Coturnix japonica: one gene and its partners. The protein of the gene in region 1 binds, or shares a complex with, the protein of each later gene. Links are inferred from orthologs where the notes say so. Each region holds a gene or a part of one and is shown in the gene's direction. Other genes may lie near its edges. The genes, in order: GTF2A1, ERCC3 and POLR2L.

Region 1 (8,148 bases):
AGTTGTTTTGACTGAATAGTGAAAACTAATCTGGTCATCAGATGCTTAAAAGCAGGACATGTTGATAAAACTGTCTGCCTGCTTTCTGAGTTCTGCTTCTGAAATGACAATCTAGAAGTAACCAAGGACTTAGTAACACTGGACTGGACTGGGTGATCTTGGGGGTCTTTTCCAAACTTGGTGATTATCATTATGATTATCATTAATCATTATGATTTCAAGTGTGGTAAGCCTAAACTTTATTTAAATTAGAAATTGGAGTACTCTTGGTGCAAATCTGCATTATGTACTTGTCTCATGCTAATGTAACACTACTGAATGATACAAACATTGTATTTGTTAGATACAGGGAACAGCATCAGCTGTTCCGAAGTCTCAGCTTATAGCAAATGAGAGTTTATTTAGCAACTCAGATCCACCTTTTCTGCTCGTCTTATTTAGATTCTTTAATTTATAGGAGAATATAAAACAGTATGGTCATTTATTCATTTCTCTTAGTTTTTATCTCAAGAGGTTAATTTTGTTTTTGTTTTTTTAAATGCCCTGGCTTAATGAAATATATATACATATTTCATTAATATATATATATATATATTAATCATTATATATATATATATAATATATATATATAAGCATAGATAGATAGATACTTGTTTCTTGAATAATTATAATTATATTATTAATTATTATTATAAATATAATTAATAATAATTAATAATAATGATTATTATTAATAATAATTAAACAATTTAAAACCAGAATGTATTACATTTTAACTACTTTTCTGATAAAACCATGTGAAGCAATGTTTTATGATTAGTCAAGGCATTGGTAACTTTCATAACCTTAGTTCTCCATTACCTGCTGTCCTTGTTATAGAAAAGAATCTGAACTTCATTACTCAAATAGAAAGATGTATTCAGAAGCTGAGAGCATGCTAATGTCTCATGCTAATGTAAAGTATTTTACAACTGTTTCAGTGTAGTTTGTGAATTCTGCAGAAAAACAATTAAACATTTTTTCCCATCTCATTTAACAAAGTTTTGTTGATGGATATTGCAAAAATGAGGTTGTGGGGATTTTAAAACTCAGGTGCTGTCAAAACAAGAAAGAACTGTAAACTGCAGAAGACTACTATTCAATAAATACTTTTTTATAGAACTAAGTTGGAATATTTATGTGTTTCTAATAAGCTTTTAGGTTGGTATTAAATAACGTATCTGACCTCGAATGTCTTGGAGAACGGCAACTAATGAGAATTTATCTATCTGCCTTTGGGATATATGAATGCAGAAAACCACTTTAGAGTTTTGCTTGTTTTTCTGTTATTTTGGAAGTGATATTACTACTATATGGATCAGTCAGTAAGGGGAGATTATATTTCTTATAACCATGATGTTATGTACTTTACCCAGTAATGAAGTTTAAATCCTTTCAGTTGCGGAGGGTAATTTCTCATGGTTCCTCTGTAGTGAGGAAGGGAGGATTTTCAAAAGATAACTGCTGTTAGACACGTGAAGTAGAAAAACCTCTGGAGAAATCTGTCTCCCTATATGAGTCAAGGACTTAATGCAGATTTTTGTGTTTGAAACTATGTGAATTGCATTAAAATTTAATTTCTGTAAGATAGAATCACTACCCACTGAGAGTCCTTGTGACTCTTCTAACCAACTGTCTTGAGAGAAAAAAATAAGTAATTCTATGAGCAGTCAGTATGCTGTGTGTGTATATTCACTTGAAAGAATTGTGTTATTTGGCACTTGAAATGTAGATTAATTGTAGAATGAAGAAAAGTGCAAACCTGATCGCTGCTCCTTGTGAAAACAAGTGAACATAGTCACTGCTGAAGTACCTTATCTTCAAATTTGTGGGCTCATGACTTTAGCTGCTTTGAAAATGTAAAACTGCCTCCTAAGCCATGCAGTATTTTATTAGTAGGTCGGGAGAGGTACATGGTTTCAGGCAGTATGTTGTAACATGAAACAGTGGCAATAATACTTCCTAAAAAGCTTTTCTTGTATTTCAGAGTGCTGCTGCTACTGCAGCTACGTTGGCTCTCCCTACTGGTGTTACTCCTGTTCAGCAGATACTTACAAATTCAGGTAACTCTCTTAACACTGAGGTCATGTGGTGGTTTTGTGGTTGCTTGGGAGAGAGAAATTGTGGATTTTACTTGCTGACGTATATTGTTCATATATCAAAATCAGGGAAAACTAGATCTTGGACTGTTGCTCACCAGTCTTGCAAACCTAACAGATTCTTTGCAGGTCTTCCCTGCTTTTTAGACATGTTCATGAAAACGGACACTACTGGCCCAAAACTGAACACAGTACTCAGGTGCAGCCTCACCAGTGCTGAGTACAGAGGGGCAATCACCTCCCTGTTCCTGCTGCTAACACTATTTCTGATACGCCATTGGCATTCTCGGCCATATGGGCACACTGCTGGGTCATGTTAAGCCAAGTGTGACCAACACCCGCAGATTCATTTCTTCGTGCAGTCTTCCAGCCAGTCTGCCTCAAACCTGTGGAGTTGCTTGGGGTGGTAAAGGAAAACCTGAGAAAGTTTGTTTCCTAGAATCAGTTGCTTTTCTTGCCAGAATAGTTCACTTAGTCTGCTCAGAATCATCTGGAACTTAACCTTCCCGCTGTATGCATCTGAATGTGTAGTGGATACACAGTTGAAACAAAATTGGAATGTGTATCTGTTCTAGAAATTTAAGATCTTCTAATTTCTAAGGAAGAACATCTGTGCTTTAAGAAGACTATTATATTGTTTCTTATGTTATGCTTACTGTTTTCTTTTTCAGTTGCAAATATTTGTAGTATGTTTTCTTTAAGAACAGGGTATGGTAGTCTGCAGAACTGTATTTTCTTCCTTCTTTCAGATTTACTTACCTGTTAGAGTAAAGAGAGCATTCTAGTTTGCACTGAAAGGAGAACAGAAAATAAAATCAATCTTTAGGGAGATGTGTAAAGTTGAGGGTTGTCTAATTTCATTTCTTCTCCTTTATTTGAATAGAAATATAAAGAGTGTATTGGATTATATCTTAGCTCCCCCTTCTCGGAGTGGAAACAAGCTGTAAAGGCAGCTGTAAACATGAGCCTTCAACGTATTTTGTGAAGAATAGGTGTCAAATAATAGAACTATAGGATAATTAAAGAAATAGACATCAGAATGTAGGCATTGTGGAAAAAGGAAGGAGAAACATAATATAAGAACAAACTGGACAGACTCTTCAGAAAGGCAACTAGACATTAAATTCATATAGACAGTTACATACAGAGGGATTTCCTACAATGTGATTATCAAAGGGACAGAAGTCCCACAAGGGAGATGCTATCTGGCTAGGCCTCAGAAATACCACAGCATTGGATAAAACTTTAGTGATGTGGCTACCTGTGCTTCTTGTATTTGTATATACTCATGTGGATGTTGTGTACTTTGACTTCAGCAAGGCTTTTAATGCTCTCTCTTGTAACATCCTCTTAGATAAGCTTTGGAAGTGGGGGACAGACAGGTGCCCAGTGAGGTGGATTGAGAACTGGCTGACTGGCAGAGCTCCGAGGCTTGTCATTGACATAGGGTCTATTTGGAACCCTGTAGCTTGCAGTGTTTCCCAGAGGTCAGACCTGGATTAAGGGATAGAGTGCACCCTCAGCAGGTTTGCTGATAATACAAAGCTGGGAGTAGTGGCTTACATACCAGAAGGCTGTGCTGCCATTCACTGAAACCTGGGCAGGCTGAGGAATTGGGTGGAAAGGAATATTAGGAGGTTCAAGTGCAGAGTCCCACACCTGGGGAGGAATAACAACACATACCAGTAAAGGGTAAGGGGCTGGCTATCTGGAAATTATCTCTGCTGAGAGGAATCTGGGTGTCCTGGTGCAGATTGTTGACCATTAGCCAGCAGATATCGATAGTATCTTGGGGTGCAATAAAAAGAGTGTGGCCAGCTGCTCATGGGGGAGTGTTCTTCCCCCTCTGCTCCATCATGTTGAAGCCAAATGTAGAGTATTGTGTTCAGTCCTTGGGCTTTTCAGTTCAAGAAAGACGGGGAACTTGTGTGGAGAGTCCAGCAGAGAGCCACAGAGATGATGAGGGGCCTTTAGCATCTCCCATATGAGGAAAGGCTGAGTAACCTGGACTTGTTCAGCCTGGAGAAGAGAAGACTGAGAGGGGAATCTTATCGATTCTTACAGGTATCTAATGGGTAGGAATGAAGTGGATTATGCCAGACTCTTTTCAGCAATGCTGAACAAAAGAAAAGAGTTGATGAACATCAATGGGAATACAGTTCCACCTGAATATGAGAAAATCATTGTTTTATTTGAGGGTGGCATAGCACTGGAACAAGCTGCCCAGAGAGGCTGTGGAGTCTCCTTCTCTGCAGATATTCAAAACCTGCCTGGACACTTTCTTGTGCAACCTCCTTTAGCAGAGAGGGTTGCACTAGATGATCTCCAGAAGTGCTTTCCAACCTGTACAGTTCTGTGATTCATTTGTACTCTGCCTGTACAATTTATCTTAGGAACACACCTCGTGTTTTATAAGTAGGAATTAATGTTCGAAATACTGTCTTGCTTTAAAGGTTTAATCTTGGGTTGCATAATTAACAATGATAAATAGCAAACAGCCATATAAATGGTTCCTTTCTGGCACAGCTGCTATGGCATGGTATCTTTTCATGGATGAAAACAGAATACAGTGCTCTTTAATTGTTACAGTTGTTCTTTCAGGAAACAGCTTTCTAAACTAAGCTAATTTTAAATGGTGATATCTGTTCTTTGATTAATTTGGTTTTTATCTTACTACAGGCCAGATCCTCCAAGTAGTTAGAACTGCAAATGGAGCTCAATATATCATTCAGCCACAGCAGCCAGTTGTTCTACAGCAGCAGGTCATACCACAAATGCAGCCTGGTGGCGTACAAGCACCTGTTATACAGCAGGTAAAGAAAAGAAATTAATAGGTACACTTGAAAGTAAAAACCTGAGAGTAGTTATTAAATGGGCTTGCATTTTTTTATTGTCAGATTTAAACAGTATACAAAGACAGAAGTAGTATATTTAGAAAAGGATTGTGTTAAGAATGTTTTCAAGGATGAAATGTTTTGGAATATTGTTTCAAATGTTTTTATTCTTGTAAGATTCAGACTAGTATTGGTTTAAAATTGCTGTTGTGTGGGTCCAATGACAATTATATTATGTGCACAATTTTAGTCAGTATCCTTTCACAAAAGTATTGATCGGTTAAATGACTTTGTGTTGCAGCATATGTAGAGGAAAATGCCTTTAAAAAAACCCAAGCAAGTAATCAAAAACCCAAAGCATATAAACAATCTGCACCAAACCTGGACATTTCATTACTGAATACAGTATGTTGTTTTGCCAGGATTTTTTTTCAGTTACAAGCTCAACTGTGCGTCCAGGTTGTGTAGGCATTGAATTTATTGTTGTGTCACAGTTCTGCAGCTTAAACCTGAATAACAGTCTGTAGCAAATTTCAGGTTAAAGTATTCTGTAAAGAAATTTTAAAAATAATCTCCTATTTGAGTTTAAACGCTACTCTACTGTGCTTGGAATTTGAGAGCAGAAAAACACCAAGTAATTAGAGAAGCTTTGTTATTGAAGATTTAATTACCTGTCTGATGTAGATGGAGTATTAGTAACTTCTTTCTCTAATTAGTCCGAGTCAGATTGATATGCTTAATTGTCTTCTGTAAGTGCTGTGGTAGTCTGGTGTGTTACCAAGCACTATACTATTCCATCAGGTTTTGGCTCCAATTCCTGGAGGGATTCCCCAGCAGACAGGAGTGATTATTCAGCCTCAGCAGATCCTGTTTACAGGAAATAAAACTCAAGTTATACCTACAACAGTGGCTGCCCCTACAACAGCTCAAGCACAGATTCCTGCAGCTGGTCAGCAGCAGCCACAGCAACAACAGGCACAACCACAAGCACCACTTGTTCTCCAAGTTGATGGAGCAGGAGACACATCATCTGAAGAAGAAGAAGATGAGGAAGAAGACTATGATGATGATGAAGAGGAGGACAAAGAAAAAGATGGAGGTGAAGATGGCCAGGTCGAAGAGGTAAAATTAACATCATTGCAGAATGCCTGTATTTCATTTTTAATTTTTTCCCTACAGTACTTAAAGGAAAACTGTAATTCTCCAAGAATGTTACCTTCCCATAATCTCGAATATGTCAGTGCTATCTGTGTACTGTAGTTTCTTTATATCCCATACTGACGTGGTGGAAACTGTTATTATCAAAGCACCTTGAAATGCAGCTGGTGTGGCAGGGGATAACAAAAAAAAAAAAAGTTAATTACGATGAGTGCCTTTTTAAAGACTTCAGCAGTATTATTTCTGGTAGTAAGGAATGGTCAGCCCTGATATCATGAATCCTTCATAAGCAAATGGAAATAATCAGCTCCATTTGGGACAGAGTGCTTTCCAAAGCCAGGTGGTAGGAGGGATGACACAAGGTGGGTGTCAAACACTGAGAGAACAAATAGATGTAGTGGTTTGTCATTTTACTCACTGTTAGATTGCCTTATGTTATACTAGAAGGGGCCTGAGAATTAAATTTGATTATAAAGCATTTTTAAAAGCACAAAAAAGACAAATTTTTGTAGAAGCATTCTCACCATACTGCATGGAATGTAGCGTGTCAGACTTCTGTATTGACAAACACTAATGGTCAGGTGCTTGAGGAAAGCAGTGAGAATGATCTATAAGAAGCATATCTTCTTAGATATACCTTAGAAGAGGTATGAGATTTAAGACAATCCTCTTAAGTACAGGTTGGAAGGTCGTGCAGGGAAGGAGAAATGAGGCTTGCAGTTCAATAGTGATCCTTGTGAATACCCTTGTGGTGTCATTTTGTAATCTTGTGAGACATGCGCAGATCTAAAGAAATAGTAAAGAATAGAGATAATGACACAACTTGGAAGACTTCTGAGGAGGAAAGACCACTTGTAGAAAAAAGACAAAAAACTGAAAGGAATTTTTAAGGAAAGTGAAAATACTTTTATCCGGAGAAGTTATTTTTATCTATCTGTGCATCATCTTAAAATATCTTTTTTCTTCCTCTACGAACTTCCTGCCTGTGTTGAGATCTGTTTCTGTTTGTGCTACATGAGACACAGATAAGTAAGACCTGGAGTTTCTACTTCTAATGGAACCTACAGAGAGATGTGAATAGTGTCTTATTTGCGCTGCTTGGATGCTTTAGGAAAAAAAAAGGGTGCATAAGGATACATTTTTGTGAAGAGACACTGCAAGCACTAGAATTTCTAGAATAAACGAATGAAAGTGGTTCTGGTATGTCACGTTTTCATGTGACATGATGATGAAAGACTGCTGTGCCCATAATCTGTCCTGAACTCTGAAACTGGGCATTAAAATTGGTAGACATCTCCTTAAGGACTGCATCATGGAAGGCAGAAAAGAAATACTCGTATGCCCTCTGCTGGAAAGCTGAATAGTTGACACCTCAAATGCTTATGTAGGACCATGCCAATAGACTGTAGCCTTGTCTGGCATGAATAATCTAAGTATTAGCTATAACTTTACTAAACATTGCAACTTTTCTCATGTGTTTCTTTCAGGAGCCTCTTAACAGTGAAGATGATGTGAGTGATGAGGAAGGACAAGAACTGTTTGATACGGAAAATGTTGTTGTGTGTCAGTACGATAAGGTAAAATATAAAACAATGCAAGTAATCTAAGTTCTCTTATTCCTTCAAGTCATAAATTTTAAGTGATGAAATATCCTTGTGTGATGATCTCCAGTCTCCTCTATGATTACTACTTCTTTTTCCTGTATGTTTGCCCCAAAATACTTCAGCGTATGAACGTTCATCTTGGAATTATTTTATATTTGTCCAAGGGATCTTGGATACTTTTTTTTACTGAGGTAGTAAATTTCCTTTCTTTACCTGTGAGGTGACTTGCACTATGAAGAGTAAGGGTACTTTCTAAAGCAGAAGAAACATTGTTGAATTAAAAAGCTCTACATTGCAAAGAATGACTTGAATAAAAAATCTTCAGTTGTTTCTGCATTCTGCTTAGACTTCATATTTGAAAAAGAATTCAAGATTGAGAAAGCTAGTATCAGTATCTACAGGCTAGCCTTCCTT
Region 2 (8,148 bases), on another chromosome or scaffold:
TAACACCATCTGACGCTCTGCTCTATCTGCATTACTGCTGTTTTATATACATTTTCTTTTGCTCAATGTTTTACCACCTTACTGTATTCTGTTATAAGAGAGCAGAGACTTTTATCTTACGTTTTCCCTTTCTCTGCTGTATGTAGCTCCATAAATGTTGGTGTGTTCTATTCCTAATGACTGCTGCTGTCTTTTTGCAGCTCTGTACGGTCAGCTATGGGAAGGTGAAGCTGGTGCTGAAACGCAACAGGTAAAAGCTGCTTTTGGCATAGTTGGTGTGAATGAAGAGATCTGCCAAGAACCCTTGAGAGTAGCCCTGCTGAGAAGAACGTCAGGGTCCTGGCAGATGAAAAACATAACGTGAGCCAGCAGCGTGTGTTTGCTGCCTGGAAGGACAGTGATATCCAGGGCTGCAAGAGAAAGGGCTGCATGGATCAAGGGTGACCAGCGGGGTGAGGGGGCCGATTGTCCTTGTAAGGCTCCATCTGAAGCATAACATCCAGGTCTGGAGTCCCAACACAGGGATGACATCAAGCTTTTGAAGAGGGTCCAGAGCAGGGCAACAAAGATATCCATCATAGAATTACCTAGGTTGGAAAAGACCTTGAAGATCATCAAGTCCAACTGCAGCCTAACCAGTACCCTAACTCTAAAAACCCTACACTAAATCATATCCCTAAGTACCACATCTAGACGGCTCTTAAACACAACCAGGGATGGCGATTCAAGCACCTCCCTGGGGAGCCTGGAGCACCTCTCTTCCAAAGACAGGCTGAAGGAGCTGGGCTTTTTTAGTCAGGAGGAGAGAAGGCTGCGGGGAGAGCTCATTACAGCCTTCCAGTGTTTAAAAGGAGTTTATAAGCAGAAGATAAATCAACTTTTTGCATGGGTAGATAGTGGAAGGACAAGGGGGAAAGGTTCTAAGTTGAAGGAGGGAAGATTGTTACATTTGAGTGCTTCTGGGCTGTAGATTTAAGCACGTACTGCTTTTTTCTGTAAGTTATTGTATCAATTAGTTCGTAGAGATGTGGAGTTTTTGTCCTTTTCTTGTAGGTATTTTGTGGAAAGTACCCATCCTGATGTCATCCAGCAGCTTCTGCAAGACCACGTTATTAAAGACTGTCGCCTGAGAAATGCCGAAGGTGAAGAAACGGAGCTCATTACAGAGACATTCACAAGTAAATCAGCGGTACGTGCGGCGTGTCTTAAAAGGATGGAATTCATATGAGATAAGCTGCTCGGTAGCTTGGAATCATTATTGTGCGTTAGTTATGTCAGCAGTTGTTTTCATTCCTGTCAGCCCTGTTAATGAACCCCACTTCAATGAGTGTCCTGGGGAGCATCTCTAGCGAATCTTTTGGTCTTTTCTGTCTTTTTCAGATTTCCAAGTCCAGTGAAAGTGGCTTTGGTCCATCCACGTCACAAGAAGCAGATGTTCAAAACAAGCCGGATGTCCCAGCTGATTTATATGAGTTTTATGAGCAGATGGACAAAGATGAGGAGGAGGAGGAAGAAACACAGACAGTGTCTTTTGAAGTCAAGCAGGCATGAACACCTTTGTTTCTTAGCGTGTGTAGCTTTAGGGGATGTGCCCTGGACTCTAATAGGTGTAAGAGATAATATCTAGTGGTTCCTTGTTTAACGTAAGAGGTCACTGGAAGCCAATAATGTTTCTTTCCTTTTGCCTTCCAAAGTCTTGGGATATTCCTTCCCGGTACAGAGTGAGCAGATTGCAGAACGTTCTTTTCTCTGCCCACAGAGTGCAGTCATTCACAAGTTAGAGAGGTTCCAGAAGCTCAGGGAGGTTCTGTTTGTGCTCGGCTTGATGCTGCTTTGTGCAGGGCTGATGAGGATTCAGTGGAGAGTAAATCTGCTGTTAGTTTCAGAGCTTTTCTTCCTCACAATTGATACTTACAGAGGAAGCTCTTGGTGGCTCTGTTTTCCCAGCTTGAGAAGCCGGAGGTCAGAGCACAGTCCTGACTTGGCCCTCAGAGGAATTTTGTAAGGCCTGTCTTGTTGCTGCATGGTGATTCTAATGATGCTTTTCTGGGGAAGACAGAAGTAATGAAAGGAGAACTTTTATCATAACCAAAGAAGTACTTGAGAACTGGAAACAACTTCTGGTGACTGAATCAACCTGTCATTGTGGAGTAACTGCACTGTCAGGGTATGAAGTTCTTCCCTATTACAGGTGTGCTGCTTTGGCAGGGCTTTCCATGCAGCACACGGGACTTATTGTGTTTGTTATTGAGCTTTTTTTTGTTGCAGGGCTTCAGAGTGTAGTTCAGTCACTGCCAGATGAGAAACACATTTCAGATGAATGTGTCTCACACTTCCATCTGTCAAAATAGCTCTCTGTAGTACGGGCTGTTGTTTCAAATGTTGGAGCAGGTGGGTCGTCACAAAGTTATTGAAACCAACTTCAACTCATGCAGACTTAATGAGCGTGAAATTAAACGTGACTTCATGTAGCACTGCGTAATCAGTAATTGTTAAATGATGTAATAATTCAGATGTGGAGAATTTAGCAGCTGAAGCTTTGTCTCCTCCTCAGGAGATGATTGAAGAACTTCAGAAGCGTTGTATCCATTTGGAGTACCCCTTGCTGGCAGAATATGATTTCAGAAATGATTCTGTGAATCCTGATATTAATATAGATCTGAAACCTACAGCTGTCCTCAGACCCTATCAAGAGAAAAGCCTGAGGAAGATGTTTGGAAATGGACGAGCCAGATCTGGTGTTATTGTCTTGCCATGTGGTAAATTACTGCATTGATTATTTTTTTTAAGGGTTTTCTTCCTTAGAGATTTTGTTCTTTACTTGCCTGCAATAATGTAACTTTTAAATCTGACAGCTGCTTGGGCTTCGAACTGTAATAGGGACTGATCTGGGTACAAGTATGCCAAATCCTGATGGCTTTTAGCAAGTGGGTGATGAGAGCGGTGAGGGTGTTTTGTTTCTCTAGTGGCTGAAGAGTTCCTTAATAGCTGTGATAGATCACCATTAACGTTTTTCTTTGTGCCCTCCTAGTCAGCTCTGCTGATCTTCCAGTGAGATGTAGAACTGCTGGCGCTGGAATCATTTCATCCTTGGGTGAAAACGGGGAGGTGGAGGAACTGGGGGTGCAAGCAAGAAGGTTGAGACAACCCATGGGAAGCATTTAAGGAGGGAGAGAATGGGAGACTGCTTGTGGCAGTGCAGGAGATACGAGGAAGGCCTCAAAGAGTGTGTAAGGGATGATGGAGGAAATTTGAAGCAGGAATGGGAAGACATAAGGACTTGCTACGTGGTATAACGTACACTGCTTGCAGGGGCTGTATGGGGGATGGCCTCTAGTAGAAGCGTTCTGTAGCCACCTGGAATTTATCCCATATTTGAAATGAAGAAAACAGTCTGATTGCTTCAAACTGGCAAAAGCAGCGTTTGTGATGATTTTCTTAAGACAACAGCACGTGGTGGGCAATCCAGTGTGATTTCATATTCCCTCACACAACTGTTGTCCTTCACTCTTTTTCTTTCTATTCCAATGATACCCATAATGAATATTGCTCCTTCCACAGGTGCTGGCAAGTCTCTAGTTGGAGTGACAGCAGCGTGCACTGTCCGCAAGAGGTGTCTGGTCCTTGGTAACTCTGCAGTGTCTGTAGAGCAGTGGAAAGCACAGTTCAAGATGTGGTCCACCATTGATGACAGTCAGATCTGTCGGTTCACCTCTGATGCCAAAGATAAGCCCATTGACTGCTCTATTGCTATCAGCACGTATTCCATGTTGGGACACACGACTAAAAGATCCTGGGAAGCAGAGAGAGTAATGGAGTGGCTTAAAAGTCGAGAGTGGGGCCTTATGATACTCGATGAAGTGCACACTATTCCTGGTAAGTAAATGGTGTGCAGACCCTCATGCTGTATGTACTGTATGTACGTACAGGAGTTAATATGCCATCTTTGGTTTTGAGATGCAATTGCACTGTAGGCTTAGGTGTTACTGTCTATTTCTATTCCATTAAATTTGAATAACAGTAGTAGTAACTGTCCAGAAATAGCTGTTGTAGTTGCAGACTATTGGAAGCAGTGATGTGCTATTAGAGTGTCTGTGCAGTTATCCTGGCAGTGTGTACCACCCAGCTCTTCTTTGCTGCTGTCATGTTTTAACTTGAATATAATTTGGTCTCTACTGGAAATGATGGATTTCTGGGGTAGACTTTGATGAACCAAGCAGCACGTTGCTGGTGCAGCTCTTTCACTTTTATTCATTTCATAAAAATTAAGGTAACAGGATTTGAAACAATACAAAAGATAAATGTTAGAAATTAATATTAGTCCTGAATGTGGCAAAGTCAGCCAAGAGTTCTTGTGTTAGCATCTTTTGATGAAATACAACATGGCTAAGATAAGTCTCTCTCTATTACTTTTCTTCTTGGGAAGCAGGAAGTAATACAAATGCAAAAGGGTTTTTTAGAGTACATTAAAGGTGCAAACTAAAGCTGACATCAATGTGAAGTTTTGCCGTGACACAGAATACTGTTAGAAGTGTATGTAAAATGGGGTGATAATTCCTAAGACCATTCTTGCTTTGTGTTTAGGAGTTAATGATTGATTTTTTTAACTTGTAAGATTGCAGTGCTTGTATTCTAAACCCGTTCGGGAAAGTAAACAGAAAGTGTGTCTTGTGTTTCTCAGCAAAAATGTTCAGACGTGTGCTCACTATTGTACAAGCTCATTGTAAGCTGGGACTGACTGCCACCCTGGTCAGAGAAGATGATAAAATTGTTGATCTGAACTTCCTGATTGGACCAAAGCTCTATGAGGCCAACTGGATGGAGCTGCAGAACAGTGGCTACATTGCTAAAGTCCAATGTGCTGAGGTGATGTTCTGCTTTTCAGTACTACTGGTGTATATTTAACATGCTTATAGCTTTAATTTTTTAATATAGATTTAATTTCCAGTGGAATTAAGTGGATAACTGGGATTTACTCTGTGTAAATTGTCTAATTCTAGGTTTGGTGCCCAATGTCACCTGAATTTTACAGAGAATACGTAGCCATCAAAACAAAGAAGCGGATACTGCTGTACACCATGAACCCAAATAAGTTTCGAGCTTGCCAGTTCCTGATTAAGTTTCACGAGAGACGGAATGATAAAATCATTGTTTTTGCTGACAATGTGTTTGCACTGAAGGAGTACGCCATCAGACTTGGGAAGTAAGTGTTCAGTGCTAACGATGATGCTGTTGCTTTCCTCCTTCCTGGAAAATCAACTTGTGATCTTACAGATCTTAGTAACCTCTAGACATTAGTTGTAATACTTCAACTACAATTCTCACATGAGAGGAGCTCAGGAAACTACTCTTTGAATGGATTTTATAGGCACTGGAACATTAATTCCACTGTAGAACTGTTTGAAAAGAATCTCTGTTTAGCACTTGGCTCAGAGGGGTTTTCATCTGACTTTCTCCATTTATTGATTTATTACTGAAAGCCACTTGGCAAAACTAGGGAGCCTTTAGAAATCTTTTCAGAGCTATTTCTATAATGGACTGTAGCTTCTCCTGTCTCTCTGTCAGGAATCTTTTCAGATGTGCACTGGGGATCTTTCAGGATCGTCTGCCCTAAATGTCTATACAATTATTGTGACTAGAGTTGACTGAGGGGTTAAACCTCAATGTGTTTGAGTGGCTTGGGAAGGGATGACCAGGGAGAATGTTTGTGAGGATCAAGTCATACAGCAGCTCCTTGGGGAAAATAAGCATAGGAGCTGGCCTTGTGCTTTCTGCGACAAGCTCAAATGATGTGTTGATTACTGGAAGCTGCGGGGCATTTTGACTGTATGATTTCACATCTATTGAATTTTGACAGTACTCAGCACAACTGCTAACAAATCTTTCTGCGCTTTCCGAAATTAGTGATTGCTTTTCACTCTAGTTTAATGGCCACGTTGTTGTGGCTTAGTGTGCATCTCACAGCAGAGCTGGTAGTTCTGGATGAATTCCAACACCCGTGGTCTCTTTCATCATGTTTTAAATCTGTCTGGACAGAGATTAGCTGTAATGATGCCTCTGGAATGTTGCTCGCAGTGTGCAGTGCTCCGCAGAGCAAGAGCCTTTAATAAAGGCACACGCCTGAAAGGGTGCTCGCAAAGTAACCTAACGGTTTGTAAGTATGGGAAATGCTGCAGAAGTACAGCAGGAGAACTGTCTAAAGAAATATTAGGTGCTTGCCTTTCACATTCTTGACTCGGTTCTCCTTCCCACGTGATTTGTATGGATCTCCAGTTTATACAGCTGTAAGAGATAGAAAGAGGAGTTGCAGTGCTAGATGAAAGAGAACATCATAACAGAAAAGCTCTCTAACCGTAGTTTGCCATGGACATGCTCAAAGTTGGCTTTGGGCATAAAAAGGGAACTGCTAGTTTGGGTGTGGCAGGAATTATTGGTTGTTGGATGCTGCAGTAGTAGCCCAGGTTGTGTCTGCCTGGCTGTGCTGGTCGTTGGTTCCACTGCCTGGTTCAAACATGTGGGGCTGGTGGGCTCACCAGTGCAGGGAAACTGGCATTGCCTGGTGACTGCTGCTGCACCAGCTCCTACTCTACCCCATCCCGTTCCCTTGGTACTAGCAGGGAACGGAACATGCACGTGACAGGAATTATTTTGACTTTAACTTTTGAGGCCTCAGAACTCAAATTTATTAAGCCAGTTTTTACTCTGTCCTGAGTCTGCCATCCAGAGTCACGTAGCTCATGCTGTTTTTTCCATTCGAGCTATTAATATGTTTAAATCACCACGTAATGAGCTCCCTGCCATGATATCTTAGTACCTGTTAATAAATGAGACACTGTAAATAGGTTTAATTTGCATGTGTTCTGTTTTTTCCAGACCATACATATATGGTCCTACCGCACAAGGAGAAAGAATGCAAATTCTACAAAACTTCAAGCACAATCCAAAAATCAACACCATTTTCATTTCAAAGGTGAGGATGCGGTGTGTTATTGTACTCATCTTCAGAGTGAACCTTATCTAAGAACATGCTATACACACACATTGGGCATTTGACGTTTTATTTATTTGGACTAGATGATCTTCTAGGTCTTTTCCAACCTTGATAATACTGTGATTCTATTATTGCAACTAATAAAGGTGTCCTTTGTACAAAGCTGTTGTTGGTGATGCATGGAAATAAGATGCTGCTCAGACACCGCTTCTGTTTTGCAGGTGGGTGACACATCCTTTGATCTACCTGAAGCCAATGTTCTGATCCAGATTTCATCCCACGGCGGATCTCGAAGACAGGAGGCTCAAAGACTGGGGCGAGTACTGAGAGCCAAAAAAGGTGAGGTAGTTGTTGGGCTCTGCTCTTTGGAATACAGTACGGCATTCAGATAATTACTCAACTGTTTAGGATACTGAAACATAGACTGAATAAACTTCAGTATCATGAGTAAGAAGGTAGTTGTTGGGTTTCCTTTTCTGTTGTAATATGGATGCCATTTTATCTTTCACTTGCAGCATCTCTTATTTCCTTTCTCCACTTTTTTTTAACCAGAACTGAATTCTTTCTTAAATACTTCCTTGCATTTTATTTCCCCTCCTGTTACAGTGGTTTACTATGCCAAAGTAGCATTTTTCGCCCCTTTCTATTTTAAGAACTTACGATCAGCTTGTATCAAATCAGCATAGCATTAGTAGAAGCATTTGCTGTTCCTTTTATTTTTTTCCTCTAAACTTGTGAATTTGTATAAACCATGTTAGAATAAAGCATATAAATCGGTTTATGTTGCAGCCTGTTGGCACTTAGTTTAGATAGAACGAGTATTCCCTAGGAAGTGGTCATATTTCAGAGGAAATTATTGATAACTGTCAGGTGGAGAATAAATTTACAGTGCTTCAGTTCTGCATTTGGCTGTTGGGAAAATGACTGATGAAAGCAGAATTTGGGGTTCCCTTTCTCCCACCTGTTTTCATGTGATGGAAAGTCTCTCTCTATTGTGCTCATACAGAGGAGAATTGCTGCTGTTATCTGTAATTTTCTTCCTACCAAAGCACACTCTATGGTTCTGTCTTGATGTAGTTCAGCAAAGGCCGTTTTAAACAGCAAAGCTTATTTTCTGTGCAGTTTATACTTCTTGTGGCTGAAGTTTTGTTTGAAAA
Region 3 (7,142 bases), about 28 Mb from region 1:
ACAGCTTTCCGAGTTGGCAACTGATATTATATATGCATTTATGCACCAGCTGCTCTTCATTGCAACAAATATTACAGGCTTACCAGATAAGGTCAGCATGTTTAAAAATATATATATAGTAAGTATTAAACCGTTCTCTGAGTCCCCGAATGTTGCTTTTAATGAAATCAGCAGCATCAGGCTTGTCTGGAATTACTGCGAAGCCAAAGTCACATCCCCAGCTTAGTGATGTTTCTCTTCATTCCCACTTGCTTAGCAGCTTCTGTATTTGTTTCAGTAAATCCAGGGCCCTGAGCAGCTTTTAAACACCATACGGGGCAACTAAACGACGCAAAGCTCACCAGAGACTGCAAGGCTTTTCTCCTTCCATCAGCCCTGCCTCTCCCACTTGGCTCCTCCACCTCCCCACCACCGCTTATGGAGCTACATCCAATCAAGGCAGTGGGAGAAGGACAAAGAGCACAGTGGGACACTGAGCCACCCACTCAAAAATCCAGAGGAAAAACTAAGCTGGAGCCTTGATTTCTCTTTGCTCCTTGGAGCTGGAAGCTTTAGCGGGAGAGAAGGGAAGTCCTTTGAAAGCCGCAGTAGCTAACTCCAGAGGGAGCCACTTTCCTTTGTGCAACAGGATGAATGACAACTCAGGGTGGTGAACCAGGACTAGAGAAATCTCAACACTAAGTCTGGATGTGATAGATTCGGAGCAGAGAACGTGCTTGAGAAAACACCAGCTAAGCCAAGTTTCACCTTGCTTTCTAACTGTCCTTTTGGCTCTCTGCTGTTCAGTATTTATCTGTTAAGTTCTCCGCGTCACATTTCAGCTCCTGACTAAAGAACATCCAACTTCATCATTCAGGCAAGCTCTTCCTCTTCAGCTCATTGAGATCGGAGTCGCACGACACTGGATGTGATACCAACAACTTCTGCAGCCACACACGCAATTCTGGTGCCAGGAAGAGGGAAAATTGAACATTCTTTCTCTAAAGGACCTCAGGAAGAGACAGGAAACACAGCTTTACGCTCCTGCAAAGGCAACATCAGCCACAGATATCCAGAAAGCTGCAAGTTAAGATCAGCAGTATAAGAACGCTGTCACTGAAAGTTTCTTCTGAAAAGTCTATGATTTAAGCAATCCTTTGTCCTTGAACACAACTGCATCTGGCAAACCAGACCCGTACAGACCCAAGAGTTCAGTTCTGGGGATCACCTATATTGTATGCAGATCACGGGTGAAGAGCAGTGAAGTCTCCAGGCCAGAGAGAACGCACACCTAACCCTGACCAAAAGCAACCCACGAAACACAACAACAACCTCAGCTACCAGCCAACGGCTTCTCACCACACCAACACAAATGTGCAGATCCCACAACTTCTGCCTACAGCCCCAACCACAGCGACAAGGTCAGGAAAGACACAACCTGCCAACACGAGCAACAGGAAGTCGCTGGAACCATAGGAGTATTTTAAGATGAGTTGGGTCACTCGGGGCACTTGGCTGTTTCAATGGGGATTTTTTTTCTGTTGTTTGCTTTTTTATTTAAAACAAGCAGTAATATTTTCCTGTCACATTTTGAGGATGAGAGAAAAGGAAGAAGGATACGCCGCTTAGTCACAAGTTTGGAGTTTCAGTACTCACTGCTAGGAGTGCTGCGGAACAATCGTGCTCGGATGCGTTTTACAGCTTTAAGTTCACTAAAGGAACAAAAGAAAGTTAATACTGAGCCTCAGCCCGACAGCAATGGTGGGACTGAATACTAGTGGCTTTCAAAGGTTTTCGCATTGCAGGAAGAAGGTCTGCACTGCATTAACCAAGAAGCAGGATGTAACTGCAGCGCCTCACAACAAAGCCTCACAGGGCAGAAGCTGTTCCAGAAGCACATCAGAAAACCAGCCTACAGTTCTCCAAGCATTTCAACTCAATCAGCTGTAGACAAGCCTCTTCTGCTACAGCTGAGGAACACCCCTATGGGCTCCCTGACTACTGAAAGCCCAAAGAAGCAGAGCTCTGAGGATTGCTGCTTGCTCCAAGCAGCAGGAGATCAAGAGTGGAATGAGAACTTACAAACACTGTAAGAGAGACCTGTGAGGGATTACCAACTCCTGCAATTCCTTTCCTTCTTCAGAAGGATGCCTAAGGAGACATAAGCCTGCAATTCTTCCAGTTTATATCCCTCTTCAGAAAGATGCTTAGAGTCTTAACTTGACTAAGTACCAAATTGCAACAGCTGGCAGCCCACCTGAAAAGAAGACTTGGAAGGTAGCACAGCAATGATTGAAGCTCACTCCTGACAAGGAAGCAGAAAATGACACCCTAACCAGGGTGAACTACAGCCCCTAAAACACTGCCTGGGAGTATTAACAGCCACATGCACACATCTCCCCTGCCTCCAACAGACTTCTGTGGTTTGGCAAGTGCTCAGACTGAGCAGACCATACATGAAGTCAGGCAAAGAACGTCATCAGCGTGTAGAAATCTCTTCAGGTCACAGATCAAACATCTCACATCTTCTATGATCAAACAAGCTGCAGCCACAATAGAGCTATTAGATTACTAAGATCATCTCCAGCAGTCAAAGCAGGATGTCCAGAAAAGGCAAATTCAAACGCTGTGAAAACAGCAGAGGAAAGTTTCCTTCAAGAGAGATGCAAAGTTGCATGTGAGAACTGGGTGGGAAAGTTAAAACCTGCTTTCGTTTTTAAAAGCTAAACAAGAGCACTTCCTCCGGGCAGCTGCACGAATCCAGCCTACATCAACAATAACCCCCCACCCCACCACCACCATCCTTTCTCCCTCCCATCAGCAAATGTCTGTCTCCAAATACAAACGCCTTGCACGTCACAGTTCAACAAGAAAATTGCTTTGGAGCCCTGGTGCTGAAAACACATCAAAGCATCGTCTCCAAATTCTCAACTTCCCTCCCCCAAAAGAAAAGAAAGCAAAGGAGAAAAAGAAAAGAGAGTTTGGCTCCCACTGGCCTGAAACAACAATAACGATAACAATCTGCAGGAGGTTTCTCCACCCTCCAAGCCAAGCCGTGCTGCTTGCACACAGCTGAGTGCAATCACTCCCCGGGGCTGCAAAAATCGCTGTCTTTTCATTAGGAAACGTTTGCAAAACCTCCTTCAAACAACCTCGCCGGTTAAAACGAAACTATTTGCTCCTCTACAGTTCAAGTTAGGTCTGCGCGGAGGGTCAGCAACCCAGCGGTCCAAAACACAGGCACGAAAGGCGTATTAACATAAGCTGTGCATTAAGACTTTATACGCCTGACAGTAATGGCTCTGCGCCGCGCGCCGTATCAACTCGCAGATGCTCCAGCAGCAAAATACAGTATTTTGGGTGCATCCCCGCTCTGCCCAAGGACAACCGTGAAGCAAGAGGGCACTAAGGACCGACAGCGCTCGGGGTGACGCTTTAACCCAGTCTGTCCCGAACAGCAACGTGCCGCCCTCAAGTTACAAGCATCGCATAGCGCAGCACTCCGCGCGACGCTCACACGGGAGGATCGCACGCGGCTTCACGACGCATCCCCCGCTGCAGCCCAACTTCCCCGGCTGGGGGCAGCCAGTAAAGCTGCAACGCGACGCTCGCGGTGCCACGGCCGCCTCCACCCTCCGGGGAGCGGGATAGCGCCTCAAGGACGGCTTATGCCCCGTTTGCTTTCGCTGCGCGCGGCTCGCCGACAGACCGAGGAACGCTACAGCGGGCAGCCCTGAACCCCCCCACATCACCCCCCACAGCCCCCAGACCCGGAGTTCAGCAACTCCCGACTGACCTGCCGCCGCCACGGGACCGCTAACCTCGCTTACCCCGCTGACCACGGCAGCGCTCCGCAGCCCGGCTTCCTCCAAATGAGCGGGCAACGCCGCGCAAATCGGCGCCGAGCGCAGCTCACGGAGCGCAGCCCCTGCCCGGCTCCTTCCCCTTCCAAAGGGGAGCGAGGACACGGAGCAAACCGCCCCAAATTGGGGACGCCAACACAGCCGCGAGACGGACCGCGCCTGGCGCTACCAGTGCGCGCACCGGGAAGGGAAAGAAAAGGGAGGAAAAGGGAGGGGAGTGCGACGTGCTGCCCCGTCCCACAGCGCTGCCGTGCCCCGCTGGTTGGCGCCGGGCTGCAGCCACCAGTTGCGCTTCCACCCCGCGCGGCTGCGGTACCTCGAGCAGGACGCGATGAAGAAGTGCCTTCTGCAGAAGTCCGGGTGTAAAGCAACAAGTGAGAGCGCGGAAGGAAGGAAGGAGGGAGGGAGGGAAGGGCACGGCGCCTCCTCGGCTCGGCTCAGCCCGCCCCGCCGGTGTCTCCGCTCTGCGCTCCGCCGGCCCCGGCTGCCACCACGCGCCGCGCACGCGAAACGCGATCAGCAGCCCGCCCCGCTCGCAAACACTATTGAGCCGCGCAAGGAGCCGTAGGGCGGCCGCTACCATCCGCCGTCCTGTGCGGGAACGGGGGAGCTCCAGCGCCGCTCTGCATCCTCACGGCTGAGCAAGAACGGCTCGCACCGCCCGTGTCCCCCCGGTGCAGTGGGAGCGGCCGTAGGGCTGCGCTCGGGCAGCTGCAGGAGGAAGCGGCGCTGTGCGAACCATGATCATCCCGGTGCGATGCTTCACGTGCGGCAAGATCGTGGGCAACAAGTGGGAGGCGTATCTCGGGCTCCTGCAGGCGGAGTACACCGAGGGGTGGGTGTCATATTAACAGCACACGCTAATACCTTGCTTTAAACTAAGCTCAGAGCAATCATTGCGTTGCTTAGGAGCACTTACGAGCGGTTCTGACTCGTTTTGTATTTATTTCTTTTAATCGTGTTGTTATTTGTTAATAGAGATGCCCTGGATGCCCTCGGATTGAAGCGCTACTGCTGCCGCAGGATGCTCCTGGCACACGTGGATCTGATTGAGAAGCTGTTGAATTACGCACCGCTGGAGAAATGAGAGTTGATTGACCCAGCCACCAGCTTCTCCCAAGGAAATAAATGAAGGCCGACATCCACTTCACAGCTACAGCTTACATATGTAGATGTTTCTCTTTAATTACATACAGGTTGTTATTGGTTTCTTTTTGTGAACTTTAGGATGCTTTTGCCCGTAAAAAATAAATGTGTTTTATGAAATACAATCATTTGTCTATGTAAAATGTTGAACTAGAGGAAGCCTCTGCCTGTGGCCTTCCTGGAGTTGCTGGGTAGAGTTCAGCATACACTTCCATCTCACTATTTCCTCACAGTGGTCATTTTGAGGTTAGAAATACAGTGTTTGAAGCTAGGGCAATCAAGGGGGGTTAGAAAGAGAGCAAAGTTCCAGGCTCCAGAAACAGCACAGAGGATGTTTGTTTGCTATGAATGAGGCATTACTCTTAGTAGGTTGCAGTGCTAGCGGAGCTCATTTTTTCACTGAAGTCAGCCTATAGTGTCTTGTTAAAAATTGGGGCAGACTGGCAGCTCCATCACAGAAAACAGTAAATCAGGTGGCGCAGTGCTCCTCACTTAGGTAAAATACATCTGAAGGCAATGGATGTGAGAATTAATGCATGTAACTGTGAACAGGATCAGAGTCTTGCCAAACACCTGCACTGCTCTGTTGCTGGTATGAGTGCAAGCTTCCCACTTGTCAGTCATTTCATTGGCTTCATATAGGATGTATGTGCAGCCTGGGACTGCCTGGCCAAAACAACCCACCTTTCCACTGCTTGCTGGATCAGACTTCTCTGCTCAAACCTCAAGAAGAGATTGTCTCAGAAAGAACAGTTAGAGGACAGCCAGCCTCTGGCTATAGCTACTACCCTACCAATCTCTACACTTGATCTAACTTTTCCATTTATTACAATGGGATAGTGGCTAAGTTTTCTCATATTCAGCAGTTCTGCAAAGACACTAAAACCACATACTTCAGCCTAATGCAAAGAGAATTAAGCAACTCTAGTATCCCCTTCAGTTTGCGGGATAGCTTTTGTTCTGTGTGACTGCCATATTACACAACAAAATTCACTTAATAACAACTCTTTCTGGCTGTCTTTAAAAAGGGACACTATGAAATATAAGATGACTGTTTCCAGCTAAAATCCTGTAGGACCTTTCCATGTTACAGCAGAGCATTATGTGGAGATGCATGTAAACTTGCACACAGGAAGCTCCAAATGCCAGGTACTGAGACAGCACAGCAGCCCAGACCGCTGCCTCCAACTGAGGTGGCCAGGCATCAGCACCAAAGGATCAGAGAGCCAACAGAGCTTTGTTTCTTACTCTGAAAGCAAAGCAGATACCAGCACAAGGTTAAGTTAATTGATAAGAAAAGCTGTGACTCTAAAACATTATAACGAAGAAGCAATTTGCAAAAACAAAGCAGGCTTCATCCAGAGTTTCTCAGGAACAAGAAAAGCCAGCTTGGTTGCTCATATTACTGTTTCTCAGACAGAGAAAGTGATGCTGTGGGCGCCAACAACGCCCACTCTGCTATCGCTGTATTAACCAGCTGTTACACAAGGAGCAGCAAACGGCAGCGAGTAGCAGGACTAAGTCACAGCAAGCATTAGTATTCCTCCAAGCAGCAAACAACAACCTGCCTGCATCGCACCTTTTCTAAGCATAATACTGGCCAAAAAGCCATTTCTGTAACGCGGCTGAGCAGCTGCTTCATCGTGTCTGTATTAAAGGTTTTCTCAGGAGTTTTGTCATTGAGATGGTCAGGAGCAGAAGTAGAACTTAAATCCTGATTAAAAAATAAGTGATTTTTTCATTGGATTTCTATAAATCTCAGCTTTCACCTTTGCTTGTTTAGAAACTAGACCTGAAAATCATCATTACAGTCAATGCACAACCCTAAAGCTGTAAGTTTCCATAGAGATGCCTAACTTGCAATGTAGCTGCAAGTCTATGTTAATTGGTAACAAACCACAAGGATCTAAACCACAAGCTGCCTCTTTTCCTGCTAATAGTTCCAGACAAGAGAAGGCAACCTCCACAGAAAGGGAGAAGGAAACCACCACAGTCTATTTGCCTCCAAAACTGCAGCCCAATTCCAAGTGTTTTCTACTTTCAATACTGAACCCAACTAGCACTCGTACTCAGCCCCTTCCCTGAGCAGAATATGAGCTTTAGTTAGACAGCAAGATTTTCTTACTCCTGCCAATGCTCGGATGAAACATCTCC

The links.
Region 2: GTF2A1 (region 1) and ERCC3 share a complex: the UniProt entries of both Homo sapiens proteins name them as parts of the TBP-based Pol II pre-initiation complex. The link is inferred for Coturnix japonica from reciprocal best matches to the Homo sapiens genes GTF2A1 and ERCC3.
Region 3: GTF2A1 (region 1) and POLR2L share a complex: the UniProt entries of both Homo sapiens proteins name them as parts of the TBP-based Pol II pre-initiation complex. The link is inferred for Coturnix japonica from reciprocal best matches to the Homo sapiens genes GTF2A1 and POLR2L.

Annotation. Positions count from the first base shown.
Region 1 is NC_029520.1:37,061,814-37,069,961, reverse strand, and holds part of GTF2A1 (transcription initiation factor IIA subunit 1), read left to right. Parts: intron 1-2,026; coding exon 2,027-2,102; intron 2,103-4,817; coding exon 4,818-4,951; intron 4,952-5,773; coding exon 5,774-6,094; intron 6,095-7,617; coding exon 7,618-7,707; intron 7,708-8,148. UniProt on the Homo sapiens protein: TFIIA is a component of the transcription machinery of RNA polymerase II and plays an important role in transcriptional activation. TFIIA in a complex with TBP mediates transcriptional activity.
Region 2 is NC_029522.1:23,165,445-23,173,592, reverse strand, and holds part of ERCC3 (general transcription and DNA repair factor IIH helicase subunit XPB), read left to right. Parts: intron 1-200; coding exon 201-250; intron 251-1,053; coding exon 1,054-1,189; intron 1,190-1,380; coding exon 1,381-1,545; intron 1,546-2,554; coding exon 2,555-2,759; intron 2,760-3,561; coding exon 3,562-3,876; intron 3,877-4,224; exon of another isoform or gene 4,225-4,681; coding exon 4,682-4,866; exon of another isoform or gene 4,867-5,000; coding exon 5,001-5,203; exon of another isoform or gene 5,204-6,282; intron 6,283-6,873; coding exon 6,874-6,970; intron 6,971-7,212; coding exon 7,213-7,330; intron 7,331-8,148. UniProt on the Homo sapiens protein: ATP-dependent 3'-5' DNA helicase/translocase. Binds dsDNA rather than ssDNA, unzipping it in a translocase rather than classical helicase activity. Component of the general transcription and DNA repair factor IIH (TFIIH) core complex.
Region 3 is NC_029520.1:8,950,255-8,957,396, reverse strand, and holds POLR2L (DNA-directed RNA polymerases I, II, and III subunit RPABC5), read left to right. Parts: upstream 1-4,499; 5' UTR 4,500-4,582; coding exon 4,583-4,677; intron 4,678-4,820; coding exon 4,821-4,929; 3' UTR 4,930-5,113; downstream 5,114-7,142. UniProt on the Homo sapiens protein: DNA-dependent RNA polymerase catalyzes the transcription of DNA into RNA using the four ribonucleoside triphosphates as substrates.